2 linked regions of the Lepisosteus oculatus genome follow. The protein of the gene in region 1 purifies or fractionates together with the protein of each later gene. This does not show direct contact. Links are inferred from orthologs where the notes say so. Each region holds a gene or a part of one and is shown on either strand. Other genes may lie near its edges.

Evidence for each region. The genes of interacting proteins can lie anywhere in the genome.
Region 2: the proteins of aak1b (region 1) and ralbp1 purify together in Homo sapiens (affinity purification with mass spectrometry; 3 studies listed by BioGRID and IntAct, counting the BioPlex papers as one, with this or other methods). This does not show direct contact. The link is inferred for Lepisosteus oculatus from reciprocal best matches to the Homo sapiens genes AAK1 and RALBP1.

Annotation. Positions count from the first base shown.
Region 1 is NC_090697.1:72,603,326-72,611,334, reverse strand, and holds the start of aak1b (AP2-associated protein kinase 1), read left to right. Parts: upstream 1-4,752; 5' UTR 4,753-5,760; coding exon 5,761-5,923; intron 5,924-8,009.
Region 2 is NC_090701.1:56,498,503-56,506,502, forward strand, and holds the start of ralbp1 (ralA-binding protein 1), read left to right. Parts: upstream 1-4,694; 5' UTR 4,695-4,784; intron 4,785-8,000. UniProt on the Homo sapiens protein: Multifunctional protein that functions as a downstream effector of RALA and RALB. As a GTPase-activating protein/GAP can inactivate CDC42 and RAC1 by stimulating their GTPase activity.

The DNA.
Region 1 (8,009 bases):
CACTTTAGCAGCTCCCCACCTGACAGTAGGGTGTCCCTTTATACAGTATATCTGTGATTCTATAACTGTGTATACAATGTATCAGACTTCTCAATAGTTTTCTTAAAGGTTATTCTAGATGCACAATACAGAAAGCATTATTTGCTGTAATGTTTGGTACTTTATTGAAATTCTCCTTCTTGTATAGCACCACACCCACAATAACATGTGGAGTTGTTGACCTGGTTAATTCTGCACTTTTAAGGGAGTTTCCTTCACAGACAGGGTAAAGGAATCAAATCTCTTTTGCCTCAGAAACTATTACCGATGGACCTGCGACAAGCTTTCAGAATCCTGAAAAGTATTCCCAAAACCAGACAAGTGGATTTGAGGATCCACGAAATGCAGACCAGAGAACACAAGTGCAAAGTAAATGAGGCATTAAAGATCTGGAACAAGAGTTTTACAAAAATGTCGAGGGAGTCTGAAACAAGCCATTTGCTGAATCTGATGCCATGAATAAAACTCTTAAAACAAAATGGCATTAAAAATAAATTAAATGGGCTTTTCTTTTGTTCTTATAAACAGGTAAATGCTTTTTCTTCATGTAGAGTGCAACAAGCAGCTTACGAAAGTAGTCCTAGGGGTTTGAATATGCAAAACAAAGCAAGAAACTACCCTTAAACAAATACTGTAATAATCAGTTTCCCTGTCCCATCATGCCTAGGCTGGACACGTGCTACACTTACAGGTAGTTGATATCATTCTGTTAATAGTGATATTACTTGTGCTGTGTCAATACAGAGCTTTTTATGTGGACAATATCAATGTTTTAGCATAACTATGTTCAATGTTGGAATCACTTGAAGATACAACATGACAGTCTAAGAATAAAGATTAAATGAATGACTGAATACATACAGTATTTAAGTAATAAACAGTCCACTTTTATAGACTCTGGCTCCTGTGTCCCTGAATTGGATTAAGTGATTAGACAGATGAGTAGATAGTGGATAGCCCACTTTAAGCAGTATTAAAGTACTTCTTAAAATAATGAATTATTCCATGACTGATATTTTAGTTTTGTTTCACATTTCAGACCATATATCATATACTGCAAGTAAAAAATGTTTAATCTGTCTAATCTGTTTACTTACTGCATTGTCTTGTAATTGTAATTGTCACATAGATCAATATAAAAGTATTTATTTAACACTGTTTTTCTGAGCTTTATTTTTATCATATTTGTCAATGATCTATCCCTCATACTTCAAGTGTGTTGTAGACTTTCTTCACAGAGAAAAAAGAGAAAGCAAGAGAGTTCCTTTAAACATGCTGGAGCTCGAAGGCCTGTTACAAATCACCAAAACGAAAAGAGGCTCGGGCTAGGCAGCTTGTCGGACAGGTGTTGCAGTCCAGCTGTATTATAAGAGCTGTTAGTCAGGAGTCTTATCAGAAGATGGTCAAGCTGAAGAAAATTATCTCAATAGGAAAGAGGGTTATAGAGAAGAAGGTCTAGTCCAGGTAAATAAGCATTACCACCAAACATCACAGGCTCTTAGAGTCTTAAAATGTCAGATCACAGAAGGTAAACATGCCTGGGTGTGGTCAGTACCATGATGGTAGATCTTTAAGGAAAACCTGATGACTCCTGGAAGCGGTGTAACCGGTCTGCATAAGAACAGGCTGCAATTACACAGGGACTACCAGTAGAGGCCGCCAAAGGTACTCCAATTTGTGTGACACGACTCCAGCTGTTGACTTTTAGATTGTGGTGAAGGAGATGGAGAAATACACTTTCTCGCTGGCCTTTTCTTGTATGTTCCCATCCAGGGAGACCACGGTATTTGAGGGTAGGCTCTACGGATGGTGATCTTGGCAGCACTCTTCCACTCTTTTTTAAACCACAGTTTCTAAAAACCAATGCCCCATTACAGTGACCTGGGACACTGTGCTGTGGGAAGTTGAGATAAGATGTTATTCTGTTCTGGATTTGTCAGACAACCTGGCCTGCTTGATGTTCCCTCTTAATTAAATTGATTAAGCAATCTGCTCACTTATCTTCCAGTTCTGTTGAGTAGAAGGGCTGCTGATACTGTACATAAAGATTATCATGCATCATTTTAAGGATCACCCTAACTCACTCACAAGGTGCAAGGCACTAATCAGATTCTGTTTTCATGGACCTCTTTCCCTGGTACCAGTTAGAACAATGCTATTTATATTATTATCCAGACTATTAATTTTGCCGGATAACACAAATAAAAATGTCACATAACTACGTGCATTAAAACTACTTTGAAATATTGCGTGTAATACAGTACATAGAAGATTAAAAACGCATCCAGCTACCTGGGACTGCTGACTACAGTCCCCAGTCGTATGATATAAATAAATTAAAGCTCATTATTTATAATTAGATTAATGACGTAACTGAGACTTCATATGAGATGGGCAAAAACTAGAAAACCCTATACAAGTCACAGACTGGAGCCTGAGTCCCCATTGTTAATGTATGTGATCCATGTAGGAAATACACTTTTGTATTGTACTGAATGGAACTGCACACTGTGACTGCATGAGATGCTTTTTGAAAAAAAACACACACACACCACAGAAAGAACAAAGACACAGGCTCCACCTGGTCTGGAATGAATACCTCAATATACCTTTGAGATATCCCCCCCCAGAATTAATATTTCATATTTTCCCAGTCTGTTTTGAATAGGCTTGACACACTGAGAAGCATGGGTCTTGTGTTGCTTTTAATCAAGTCAGAGTCGTAGAAGTAAAGAATTCTAGCTGTAGGGATTAAGAGGAGTTGCTTATTGCTGACTGTTTTTCAGTAAAGAAATAAGATTTCAGTGACTGTTAATGAAGTACATAGTAATGTTTAGGTTACAGTTTACTTTATACATGACTAAGTGAATGACTACATTGTTCTACTTCAATATTATATTGAATATATATATATATTTAGGAATATATTAGGTATATGGCTATTTAACATTCCAAATATTGGAATATTAATAACTACTGATGATCCTCATACTGCTAATAATAATTCAGAAAGAATAAAAGTATAGTGTACTAAATTCAAAGGCCATTTCCTTTACTCAACACAGAACATAAGCAGTGATGTGATGGCTCCCTCTTAAGGACGTTTTACGCTGTTACCTAGCAGTTATTTTTATATAGATACTTTAATGATCCAGTTAGGAAAATTGCATGTTTATAAGAAAACAGGAAGGGTTACAAACAAGAAGAGGTCATTCAGCCCAACTAGTCTGTTTGTTCATTTGTAGTTGATTGATCTGGGGATTTCAGATGCTGTTTCCTGAATGAAGCCAGCGTATTGGCTTCACCAACTCAGCCAGATAGCTTGTTCCACTCTTCCACCACCCTTTGGGTAAATAAAACAGTCTTCTGTTCTCTGGTTCATGTTTTGCTCTTCATTCTGAAGACGTCCACTGGGCGAGACTTTGTAAAATCCCTTGAAGATTCTGAAAATTTGTATCACATTCCGTTTTAGTCTTCTGTGTTCAAAACTATAAACGTTCAGTTCTTTTATCATGTCAGTGTGGAACATTTTGCTCATGAAGGAGATGTGGAAAATAATATTTATTTCTAATTATACCCTTTTCAGGTCAGTTGCAATAGTAGCACCAACAATAGCATCATTTAAGTAATTCTTATCCTGATTATTGTAATCGGTCATGAGACAGAGTGACTGTCATAATAACGTGCTCTAGTGTACGGTACCATCTGAATATAAAAAGGGATATAGAGAGAACGTGATGCACTTCTTGGTTGAAATGAATCTAGTCCTATATGTGCAGAACTTCTTTTGGGGGTAGAAAAGGCTATACAGATAAAATTATATTTAAAATTAATACTTAAAAGTATCCTAATATTGTTTTCATTTAATTGAGAAATTAAAACCATAAAACATCTATTACTTTTTTTGTTTTATATCGTGATATATTATGTGAATATTAATGCGTTATTTTAGTGCAATATTTATTTTCTACTATCGATGTTTTGTGTATGCCTGTGCATCTGTGTGGTTATATGCAGATACATATATACATAAGGAATTATGACTTTAAAATATATGCAGTATATAGATTATGCGCAGTCATTTATTGATGTACTGCATCGTGAAAGCTAGAAGGCAAAATGGCTCAAAATGTTTGCATTTTTGTGAATTAATTCTGACCGCCCAAGGTCATGGGCGAAGATCAGACAGAAAGGGAAAAAGAGATAGTCTCGGGTTCGTTCATTCATAGTATTCATTCCAAGATGTGGCCTTTCTGTTAAAACTGCAACATCTACACCAAAAACGACAATACCCAGTTGGTTATATATACACATATTATGAATTGAGGACTACACTACAACCTATTCATGTCGCTTCAGAAAGTTTCTAAGGATAGTCGATACCAAACGATATCCAGAGTTTTTCTGGTGAGCAAAAAAACACTACGAGTACCACAATGCTTTGAGAGAAAGGGGCTGATTTCTGTCAACATCGTATTTCAAACTACTTTTGAAATGTAATGCATTGTACGAGGCCGACACACGCATACTGCTCTGTACAATGATTTGGTTTATTTTTAAAATTGTATTAGGAAAATGTTTAATCGACTCTAATTGCGGATGGGAGTTGTAGTTCTTGAGTTGTCACTTTGCGCTCCTACTTTCCTCACCCAGTGGGTGTAAACCAGCCCGGGACTACAATTACCATCCTTCGCCGCGGAGTGACAGTAATTCAGATTATCGTCTTTATTTTTATTTTCAGATTTTAGGAAAGACGATATCGCGTATCTGCAGTGAATCTCAGTGCACCGAGGCCTAAAAATGCGATAGAGTGGAGAAGTTGTTTTTTCCATTTCCTGTTTTGTTGTATTTCCTGGTATGGGGACGAGCCGCTCAGCTGTTTTTTAAGAGCAAACCTAGACGTTGAAATAAACCAGAGGGGGTTTGGGAAAAAAAGGGCTCTGGTTAATTGGGAATTCGTACATAAAATAAACCCCACAGAAGAGGCCGAAAAGGCTTTGAAGAAATCGTGAAAGACAAGATAAATATACCATACTGATGGCAGGGCTGGAAGGAGAGATTTTCGAATAGAAACAAGCATCCGAACTGGGGCAGGATTTTTTTTTTAAGCTACACAATCATTGCACCAGTTCGCTCGCATCCCTGGCTGGCGTGATGAAATGAGTCTCTACCCATGCCTTATTTACCAAGGCTCCGGGGAAGCAATGGAGAAGACGCTGTTTTAAGCTGAGAAGGGAAGAAAAGAATAAAAAAAGATCGCTTAGCTTTGCTATTGCAATAATTGTATTTAACGCCTGAGCATCTTAGCGACATCGTCGGAAGGGGGTAGCTTTTTAATTTTCTTTATTTTTTTTTTATTTATTCGTCATGGATTCGGCCACTTGCTTCTGGGGCGCCTAACCAGTTTAACCTTGGGCTTTTCTTACGTGGAAGATAGGAAAGTGACAGCCGTATTGCAAGGGGCTGTTTTGCCAAAGCATAAGCAGACAGGATCCCTTTGGCACGTTTTCAGGTTCAGCTGAATAGCTGTCATAGCCGGGACACTCGCCGGATTTGGCACTTTTGGCGCTGCCAGTGTTATACCGCCTTCACACCGGAGCTCGAACCTGGCTGGGGCGGACCGGGACGTTTCCTTGGGATTGCTTTCTCTTTTCGCACATTGAACTTCTTTCCTCCTCCTCCTCCTCCTCCCCCCGTCCCGTCGTCCGACTGCCGGGGAAGATGAAGAAGTTTTTCGACTCTCGTCGGGAGCAGGTCGGCTCCGGCCCGGGCTCCGGCGCCGGCGGAGGCGGCGGGAGCGGGTCCGGCGGCGGCGGCAGTTACATTGGAAGGGTGTTCAGCGTCGGACGGCACCAGGTCACGGTGGAGGAGACGCTGGCGGAAGGTGAGAAACGGCCCGGGCACCCTCAATAGCTGCTGCTTTGTCAGTGTGGTTGATGTTCACACGCTAGCAAGTCACCGCTCACCGCTTTTCTGCAATGGGATGGTTAGCGCGTTTTCCACCTGAGGGCTGTTTGGTGAACTCTACCCTGTGGGCGCCACTGTGGACGTTGTCTGGGACTGGGCTCCGTCATACTGCAGTGCATGCTGTGTATGTGAGCCTAAAATATAGATCAGGCTTTAAAACCACTAACGGGTCCATACATGCCACACAGGTGCAGAGCACTTTAGCACTTGCACCCCATCTATAATAATCTTAGATAAGATTTGATTGTAAAGCTTGGACTCAGCTCCCTCAGTCGAGAGACCACACAGACCAGATCCTTCCTGTTCTTGTTTGGCCAAGCATTTTTGCTCTTTATGTGTGGAAGCTTATGAGGTGCTCCCCAATAGGAAACGGGGATTCTCAGAAGCACCCCCTACTTCTGCAAGAGTGGGAGGGGAAAAGTGTGAACCCCTTCACCTGATAATTCCCTGAGATTTTGGGCCCATGTGTGATGAATGAACACGGAGGAGGTGGGCAGGTCCATGTTGTTGTCTTCCTCTTTCCTGTCGCTCCGTTCCTTAGTCATCATGACATTATCTTGGTGAGTGGTTTTCTTGTTGCTGATACTTTGCGGTTTGCTCTACGTGTTGCTAATGAGCGACACCCTCTATTCGGCACCCCTCCCCACACCAGAAAAAAACCCAACAGATTGTCACAATAACTTCTGCAGGAACATACCAAGAACTGTGCATGCAGCAGTCTTATGAAAACACACTCACACATGCAAGTGGAGATATATCACACAAAGAAAAGGGTACTAGGTGTTTCCTCTAGAGAATCTATAAAGTTCGTTGAGGGTTAGCGTTAGTATTTGGATTGTGAATGAAGGAAAAGGTAAATGTATTGAACATATGCCCTGGAATCATCGGAGAGATTCTTGTAAAACTTAAACACATCCATATACTCAAAAAAAGGCTTCTCAGGAGACTGACACTGAGATTTTCTGAGACCGAGATATAAATAACACTCCCCATGTTAAAGCATTTCCAACCATTCCAGGGTTGAATGCTCCTCTGTATGACTCAACACGAGCTGCTGGATGTTTCATGCTGCTTACCTTTTTTGGGATAAGATGTGGAGTGCAAATATGAAGGAAAGTTCTTTGCCTGGTTAATTAACCGAGTTGCAGAAGCAAATCCGCACTAAGTTCAAAAGGCGAATTCATACGTTCTGTATGACATGGAGCAAACCAAAAAAAAAAATGAAACCGTGCTCCTTCAGTCACAATCGGTTCCATGAACCTTGTTTTGTGTTATTTGTATTCTACACACCTGTGCCTGCTTATATGCTTACCAGAAACGTCCCAAGCAGCTGTTCTCTCTGGCTTTGATTTTTAGAATTAGTTTAGCGTGTGGTCGCTGGTATATTGATCTGTACAATGCTTTTGAAGTGTCCAGGATAACAAAGATGTTTTGACATAAGATGCATGGTGGAATTAAACGGCCAGCGCTCACCTGAGAATATCTGAGGTGGGTGGAGAGGAACAGCTGGATCTGTGCCACTGGGCTTGCAAGCCAGGATGTCTCCAAGACATTGTGGGCTTCATTCGAATGGCAATTGCAAGGACAGCATGTTCCCTGGTTTCTGCAATATAGCCGAACAGCTACGCCTTAAAAGCAAAATCCAGCAAGTACTGCAGTCAGCAGAGAAGGCCGTGAGCATTCACAGCTTAGGTTCTTGTGTAAACAGCTGTGTGCTGAAAAGGGAAAATAAATTATTCTAAAATAGCTGCGTCGGTGGCAGATTCATTCAAAAATCAATTGCATCAAGTGCTTCAAAAGCAGTGAAAACGGTGCACATACTGTACCTATCCCACAGTAGAGTTAATCTTTAAGCAGAGTATGTAGTGGAACCCTATGGCCAGGGGTAATAATGTTAATGTAATAATAATAATAATGTTAATCATAAGAATGTTTCTTTATTAGCCCTGTACAATTTCTTGCATTAGGAATTCGTCTTTTTGCATACCACAGCTTTTCTCCAT
Region 2 (8,000 bases), on another chromosome or scaffold:
CAACCAAAAGCAGGTTCAAACGAATGTTATGTGGCAAAACACTAAACCTCTGCTGCACACTTGGATTCAGTAGTTCAGAAAAATGTCGGCAATTCTATTGCTATGTAAAGACAAGAGGATATCCAGTTTGTCCTTTGAGATTTTTAGATTGCGACTCCAGGGATCTTAAGGGGTTTGGGCTTCAGCAAGGTAGTTCCATGCTCCCACGGCCCTCTGGGTAGAGAAGTTTCTCCTGCTCTCAGTCTTAAACGCACTTCGTGGAGTTTCTGCTTGTGTCCTCTGGTTCGTGTCCCACTTCTGAAGAAGTCGGCTGGTTTCACCATGTCAGTGCCTTTGAGGATTTCGAGTTCTAGTGTCACGTCTGCTCTGGTCAGCACTAAATGGGTTCAGTACCTTCAGTCTGCCGGTATAGGACATTCCTTCAAGCCACAGAATGTATCCGACTGCTCTTCTCCAGCTATATCGATTTTTATGATATGGTGACCACAATTGCAGACAATATTCTGAGTGACATTTTAATAGCGCACTGCACAGTTTTATTATAGCATTTTTTTTAATTTAAGTTCTCCACTTTTAACCATATATCCTAACATTTCCGTTGCTTTCACATGGCAATAGAAGGTGTGAAGGGTGTTAGGTAAACACCCACATCGTTTACATAAGCAGCCTGTTCATTTTGTTTTTTTCCTGTCTCTGATGGTTTCATGAGGGTGCTGGTGTTTGTCTTAACAGTTATATGATGGGAGATAGAATAGTTCTGAGTTCCGAATTGGATGAAACAGCAGAAAATATTGCTTTTATGGCTGTTTTATAATTGGTGTGGATTATTATCATAGCCGAGTCATAATGTTCTGAGTAGTTTCTTTGTTTGTTTCTCTGAAGACACAAGCGGAAATGACGTGAAAGTGTATTTCAGCCCAAGAACGAGAGGCTGAGGGGTGGCTCTGTGGCTCAGGATCTGCGCCTGTGGCTGGAAGGTTGCCGGTTCAAATCCTGTGGCTAGCAGAGGAATCCTACTCCGTTGGGCCCCTGAGCAAGGCCCTTCACCCCAACTGCTCCAGGGGTGCTGTACAATGGCTGACCCTGCGCTCTGACCCCCAGCTTCTCTCCCTGTCTGTGTGTCTCATGGAGAGCAAGCTGGGGTATGCGAAAAGACAAATTCCTAATGCAAGAAATTGTATAGGGCCATGGAGAGCAAGCTGGGGTATGCGAAAAGACAAATTCCTAATGCAAGAAATTGTATAGGGCCAATAAAGTGATCTTATCTTATTTCTTAAGAGCAGGAGTTGCTACTTTGTGCAAAGCATTGTGAGAGTATTGAAAGGGTTCCTCTAACTCTTTTTCTTGCTCGAATGGCAGTTGGGACAAGATCCTTTGCTCAATCCCCTACCAGCAGCCCAACTTGCAAATGTACAAGATGGCCTAAATGGCCTTCTCTTGTTTGAGGCCTTTCTTATGTTTTAGAATTTTATAGTCGTATACCCTAGGAGTTCTGTAAATAAAGCACTTTCTTCCACCGATAAATCTAACAATAAACCAAAGTGGGCTTGATGTTCTCGGCATCACAATATTTTCGATCCCACTGCCTGATTTTTGTCCATGTATAATTTTGTCATTTCAGACTTCTCTTGTGGTCTGTCTTCCAACAGAGCATTATCATGGAGGGTGGGTATTCTCTGTGTTGACAATAATTAGTTGCCACTCATTGCAAGTTTGTCTAACTATGACTCTCTTACATGGCTTTTTCTGCCTTTTTCTTTGATTTGAGGCCTTTAAAAAACGGCGGCCGTGGGGATTTCCACTGTGAGAGCGTGCAAGTAACGAGACCAAACTCTTTCCGTGAACGGGAATAGTTCCTGCTCGTTCATCTGTCCCTCACAGGGGTCCCAGCAGTGAGATAAAAGAGCTGACTGAAGTGAGGTCTCTGTGTTGCTAGCAAATTACATCCTTCAGCTGGGAAAATGAATACTGCTTGGCGTACATGCTCAGCTCTCAGTGTTTACCATGATGCCAGCCTTCACTTGAATAGAAACGAAAGTATCGCTGTGTAGTTTTTCCTTTGGTTGCCAAGAAGCCTTACAAAGGACCCTTTCTCTGAGGAATGAGGTGGGTAAGATCACATGATTCTCTTGAGTTGGCACAGGGAAGTAGATGCATTTCATTAATGCAACAGTGTTCAGGGTAGCTTGCAATGTATTGGGAAATATGAATTCTTTGCTCTGTGTGTATTTCATCTGGTTTTCTGGTGGTGACTGTAACTGGTGTCATTGCGACAACATATTGACCAATTTATTCCGGCTCGTTGTATGCTAGCAGGCATGACCCAGCAACACTCATTTCAGACGGAGGCGACTGTGCTTAAACATTTTTGCTTCACATCTTTTCTGTGAGAAAAATCTGAATTGTCTCTTCTTTTGTGCTGTAAATAAAGAATATCATTTACCAAAAAAGTGGTTTGAAAGTGATCAACGTGTTCTGGGGGGTGAGGAAACTGAGGCAGGTGGCGCTGTCTCACAGCTCGTGGGTTCTGGGGTTGATTCTGGGCTGGCAGGCCGACTCCTGCACACTTCCAGGAACAGCTCGGGGTTTTTCCACATCTCTCGATCCTCATGTTCCCAGATGGATTTCTCACCAGGACTCTCTGCTGTCCCAGGGAAGAAACTGCTGCCTGTCCCTTCTTTCCCGGCAGGAGCCGGCTCTGGACTGTGGTGTTGGCCTAGTGATGGGTTCGCCTAGAAACCCGGAAGAGGCGCCCCCACCTCCGCACCAGCAGTGCGGGCGCCACAGCCCACCCCCCGGAGCAGCACGAGAGCCTGAGAGAGGGCGGCTGTCTGAACGAGGGCACGTGCCAAACACGGACACGCACTGGTGCGCACGGAGAAATACAGACACTGAACTGTGACACTCGTATAGTGCTTTTCTGGACACCCCACTCAAAGCCCTTTCCAGGTAATGGGGATCCCCTCCACCCCCACCAGTGTGCAGCTTCACCTGGATGATGCACCAGTCTGCTCCCCACACACCAGCTCTCAGTGGGGAGGAGAGCGGAGTTCAGAGAGGGGATTATTAGGAGGCCATGATGGGTAAAGATGAGGGGGAAATTTGGCCAAGACACAGGGGTAACACTCCTACTCTTTTCGAGAAACACCCTGGGATTTTTAATGACCACAGAGAGGACCTCAATTTTACGTCTCATCTGAAAGACGGCGCCTGTTTACAGTACAGTGTCCCCGTCACTATATTGGGGCATTAGGACCCACACAGACCACAGGGTGAGCGCCCCCTGCTGGCCCCACTAACACCTCTTCCAGCAGCAGTTTTTCCCAGGAGTCTCCCATCCAGGTACTGACCAGGCTCACACCTGCTGAGCTTCAGTGGGCTCCCAGCAGTGAGCGTCAGGGTGACATGGTTTTGACCACGAGCGCAGGTTAAGTTGGTATCACTGTGGGGTCCCGGAAACGAAGCAATGACCGGGCCTGGAGTAGAACTGGGTTGCTGGTGTGATGGTGGTGGGTCTCCAACACTCCCTGTGGACCAGGATTTCCAAACCAGTGACCCAGCATGGTGACAGAGGACCCTGAGCTTCAGATGAGATGTTAAGCCAAGATCTGTAACCATCTGGTGGTTAAAGATCCCATAGCGCAGCTACATTCTGCTCTACCTACAGTTTTGCCTTAATTAAATTAGTGAAGTAATTGCTGATGTCTCCACCGGTGGGGCTGCTGGTGTGTGACGACTGCCAGGTGTCCCTGTGTGGATGAAGTCCTTTCTACACGCAAGGTGTTTCAGGACATTTGGAGCTAAAGAGAGAGATCAATTCAAGTTATTATTAGTGACTAAAATTGTATTAGTAAACGAATGCTCATTTAATCTCGCCATAATAAAATGTTTATTTTATTCTGGCAATGTGCCATTTCTCATTTTCAGGCTTTGCTTTTATAATTTTGAATTCACAGGAGCAAACTAAGCATTTAGAAATGTGCCCCAGTGCACATATTAAAAAGCACTGCTATTAAAGATATTATTCAGTATGTTTATTATCTCTAGCATTATTTTTCTAATGCCTTAAAAAAAATTAAAACATTATGTGGGAAAATAGTTAAAATTCCAAATATCCCTTATTATCTTGCAGAGATCGTCATAAACATGGGTGCTTACACCTGAATTCAAAATCTAGAAGGTATTATTTATGTATATATAAAAACACCTCATCAGGAGCTTCAAGAAACTCACCGAACGTAGGCATTGGGTGAACTATTCGACGAAAAGCTGACAGCGCCCACTAGCAGAGTCAGGCCCTTATGAAAAAAAAAAGCAAATGTACAATAAAACAAGAAATGCACTATAAAAAGAAACAGGACAATTAGCAATTAGCAATTGTTGTAAGTGGTTAAACGCCTGTAAAATATTGCACTCGTGAACTAGTTAGCTAATACAGCATATGTAATTACAAAATGCATTAAGAATTTTGTAATTTGTTTAGATTCTGTTGCTCTAAAGGGAGCCGTTTAGTAACATTTTCCTTGACGTTGAAACCTACAAACGTATATCAAAGTTATATATAGTTTACTGTATATATATATAAAAACACAGCACAGAGGGCATATGGATACTGTAGTTTTTCTAAGTTTACAGCAGTAAACGTTAACCATTTGTTTTACATCGAAAAACTACAAATCCCAAAGTGCCACCCCCAAAGATCCACCGCGCATGCTCACATGGGGTTTTTTGTGTGTACGAAAACAGCAGGAAAAACAGCTACCCACTGCAATTCACCGAAACAGGTTGGTTGTTAGTTTTGTGTTTCTAGGTTTCAGGAGCGCCAGTTAATATGTGTTTTACCAAGAAGAGAAAAGAAACCGTTAGCCGCGCCGAAGTTTAGGTTTAAAACGATGTTCGTGTGGCAGGGTAGGACAGCGGACTGGCGGATCCTGTGTTGAGACTCATTTGGGCCTCGGTTCGTGCAGAGCTGAGCCCTGGGTCTGACGAGCTGGTGGGACCGGAGGATTTAACGTCGGTCCTGTGGCTGGGAGTGCGTGATCATTTATTTAATACACGTTTCTTTAAAAGCGTCTTCCTGCGCAGGTAATGACAGTAAACGTGTCTGTCGCCGGCCTTTCCAGCCCTCCACCCCCCCGGACAGGACGGGGAGAGGGAGATCGTGTCGTCGTTGTTGTTGTTGTGAGTTTATGTGAAGCTGTCGGGAGGAAAAGAAAGGCTCGTCGCACGAATTCGCTGAGTAACAGTAGAGGAGTAACCCCAAAAAGTAACAGCAGAAATCGGTCTGATTGCGGTGGTGGGGTATAATGTCGCCGAGGTGCCCGTTTAGAAGAAAAGAAATAGATGTGTCCCTGGAGGAGCTGGGGGTGGAAAGCGGATTTCGAGTGAAAGTGGGTTCGCGATGAGTTTGTGTGACATCTTGTCCCTGTTCCCCTGGCCGCCTGACACCGGTCCACGCAGTTGAGGTGTGACTTCATGAGAGAGCCCAGGACAGCAGGAGCAGGGTGTCTGTCAGCGTGTGTCTCTGTCTGTGTGTGTCCCTGTCTGTCTCTCTGTCTCTGTCTGTGTGTGTCCCTGTGTGTGTCCCTGTCTCTGTCTGTGTGTGTCCCTGTCTGTCTCTCTGTCTCTGTCTGTCTCTGTCTCTGTCTTCCCGAGTGGGGGCAGCTGCTGCTCGTTCCCAGACGAGTTCTGCTTTCCAGGAAGGACCGGTCAGGGGGACGTGTCGCTTGACGCAGTTTGCTGGAAATTGAAGTCAACTTGACCCGATCTGCATGGATTCACCGTGTAGCAGGAATTCTGCGTTCGCTGTACAGACGGTTTTTATATATATATAGTTATCTGACACGGCGTGCTGCAGCAAATAGGTCAGCTTTGCATCCACAGCCAGGTAAAAAAACAACAACTTTTTTTCTTGGGTAATCCACTTGTTTGGTCGGGACAAAAAAAAACCCGCAAGATTTTACTTCTAAGCATCCTGATCATTTTGCTTCAGAAACGTCTGGAATAAGAATAACCGCCTGGGTGATTGGTTTACGAGCCCTTACACATTTCTCCGTGTGTTTTGACTTAATCAGGGATGTCGTCTCCGGCTCGCGAATATTTCTTAAGCCTCGTGTAGATATTATGGTGGGCTGTAGACTTGCCTTTTTTGTGACCGTGTTGTCCTTTCTGATACTCCCACCGTAAACTGATTGAAGCTTTTGGCTTTTGATGGTGTTGATCTCTCTCTCTCTCTGGGAGCCTGACTGTTGTCTCTTCCGTCATTTCTGCAGTTTTGTGCCGACAGGACACAAGTAGTTTGTGTATCATCTAGTAAGCCTACGTTTTCCTCATTTTTATGAGCACCTCTTTCATAAACTGTTTAAAAAATGCGATTGGAGGAAGCCTGTTTGTTGATCACAGCAGTGGTTGATGAAGTGTCCAGACTCAGTTATGAAGTTTGGAAGCAAACATGACAGAAAAGTCCTGACTCTGGCTAGGTACGTTCAGAAATGACAGATTATTCTTTCCTTCTCTTTTAGTAATAACTACAAGGAGCGGGAGAGTCTAAGTGAAAAGGAAAAAGGGTTTTGTTACGTAAAGAAATGAGCGTTTTTGAGACGCTACGGCCCACACTGCAGAGGGGTTTGTTTTTACACGCTGGGCAGCGTACCTGAGGACAGGCCCAGGAAGCAGAGCCTCTGTTATTGCAGACCATCATTCAGAAAACCAGGGGGCTGAAACAGTTCTGATGGGGTTTTTCCACTTTGTTCTCAGAAAAGCAGTAGTATAACTATTGCTCCAGGAAAGCAAATGACCCCGAAGATCTGTATGACGATGTTTTTCCTTAAAACGTACCATGCCATTACACCTAGATTCCTCAATTCCACCCAGGCCTGGAATTCATTTCCTCGCCTAGGAAGTGTGCAATTTTCCTTTCAGGTGGTTATGACTCATTTGAAATAAATGTATAGTCTGAAATTCCCCAGTGATATTCTGGAATACAGTGGTGCTAATAACATTCCCACACTTAAACATATAGTTGTTTTGTCACATGAGTGTTATTGGTATTTCGTGTATTATTATTGTTATTGAAATAGATCAGGTGGGGAGCTGCGTCGGCACGCGTAGTCTGCAAAGGAACAAGTAACAGGTTTATTCCCTGCTGAAAAGAGAAGAGAGAAAACGCAACGTTTCGGTTGTGGAGCCTTCTTACTCTGCTCTCCTCCCCACTGAGAGCTGGTGTGTGGGGAGCGTTCTGGCGCACTATGGCTGCCGTCGCATCATCCAGGTGGGGCTGCACACTGGTGGTGGAGGGGATCCCCATTACCTGTAAAGTGCTTTGAGTGTAGTGTCCAGAAAAGTGCAATACAAGTGTAAACAACTTTTTATTATTAATTATTATTATTATTATTATTATTATTATTATAGTACAGGGTACAGAAAACTGTGCGAGCGATATCGGAGTGCAGTATAGTCATTCAAATTAGGGACAGCCATTCCAGTGCCAGTGCTTTGTGAAAATCTGCTTGTTGTACTTCGTGAAGTTTAATATGTTTAAAATGTGCAATATGGTCATGGGTTGCTGAGGGTTTTTGTCGCTTGTTTGACTGAGCTTTATGTTCAGCGGGCAGAGCCTGTTGGAGATGGCTGGCGTGAGACTCCTTGCCCTTGAGCTCCTGAGGTGAGACAGCCGTGACTTGAAAGATGGGCTGTGTGGATGTCAGTGCCCCCTGCTGGTAGGAGGAGAGACTGTCGAGACTGAGAAGAATTGGTTTCCTCTGTTCATCTAGAATAAAGAATTTATTTCATACTAGAATGGTTGCACAGCAGGATAGTACTGTTCTAGGGAGAAGGGTAAAATGTTCCCTTTGTCAAAGGTCTCCAGTGTGTTTACCTTTAAGTAAAATCGGTTGTACAGTCTAGTACAATTTCTGAGCAGCTGTTAGGCACCAGCAGTGCTGTAATGTATACATCCTGTGTGCTGTTCTGCTCTCAAGTCGTTGAGCGACCTGCAGTTC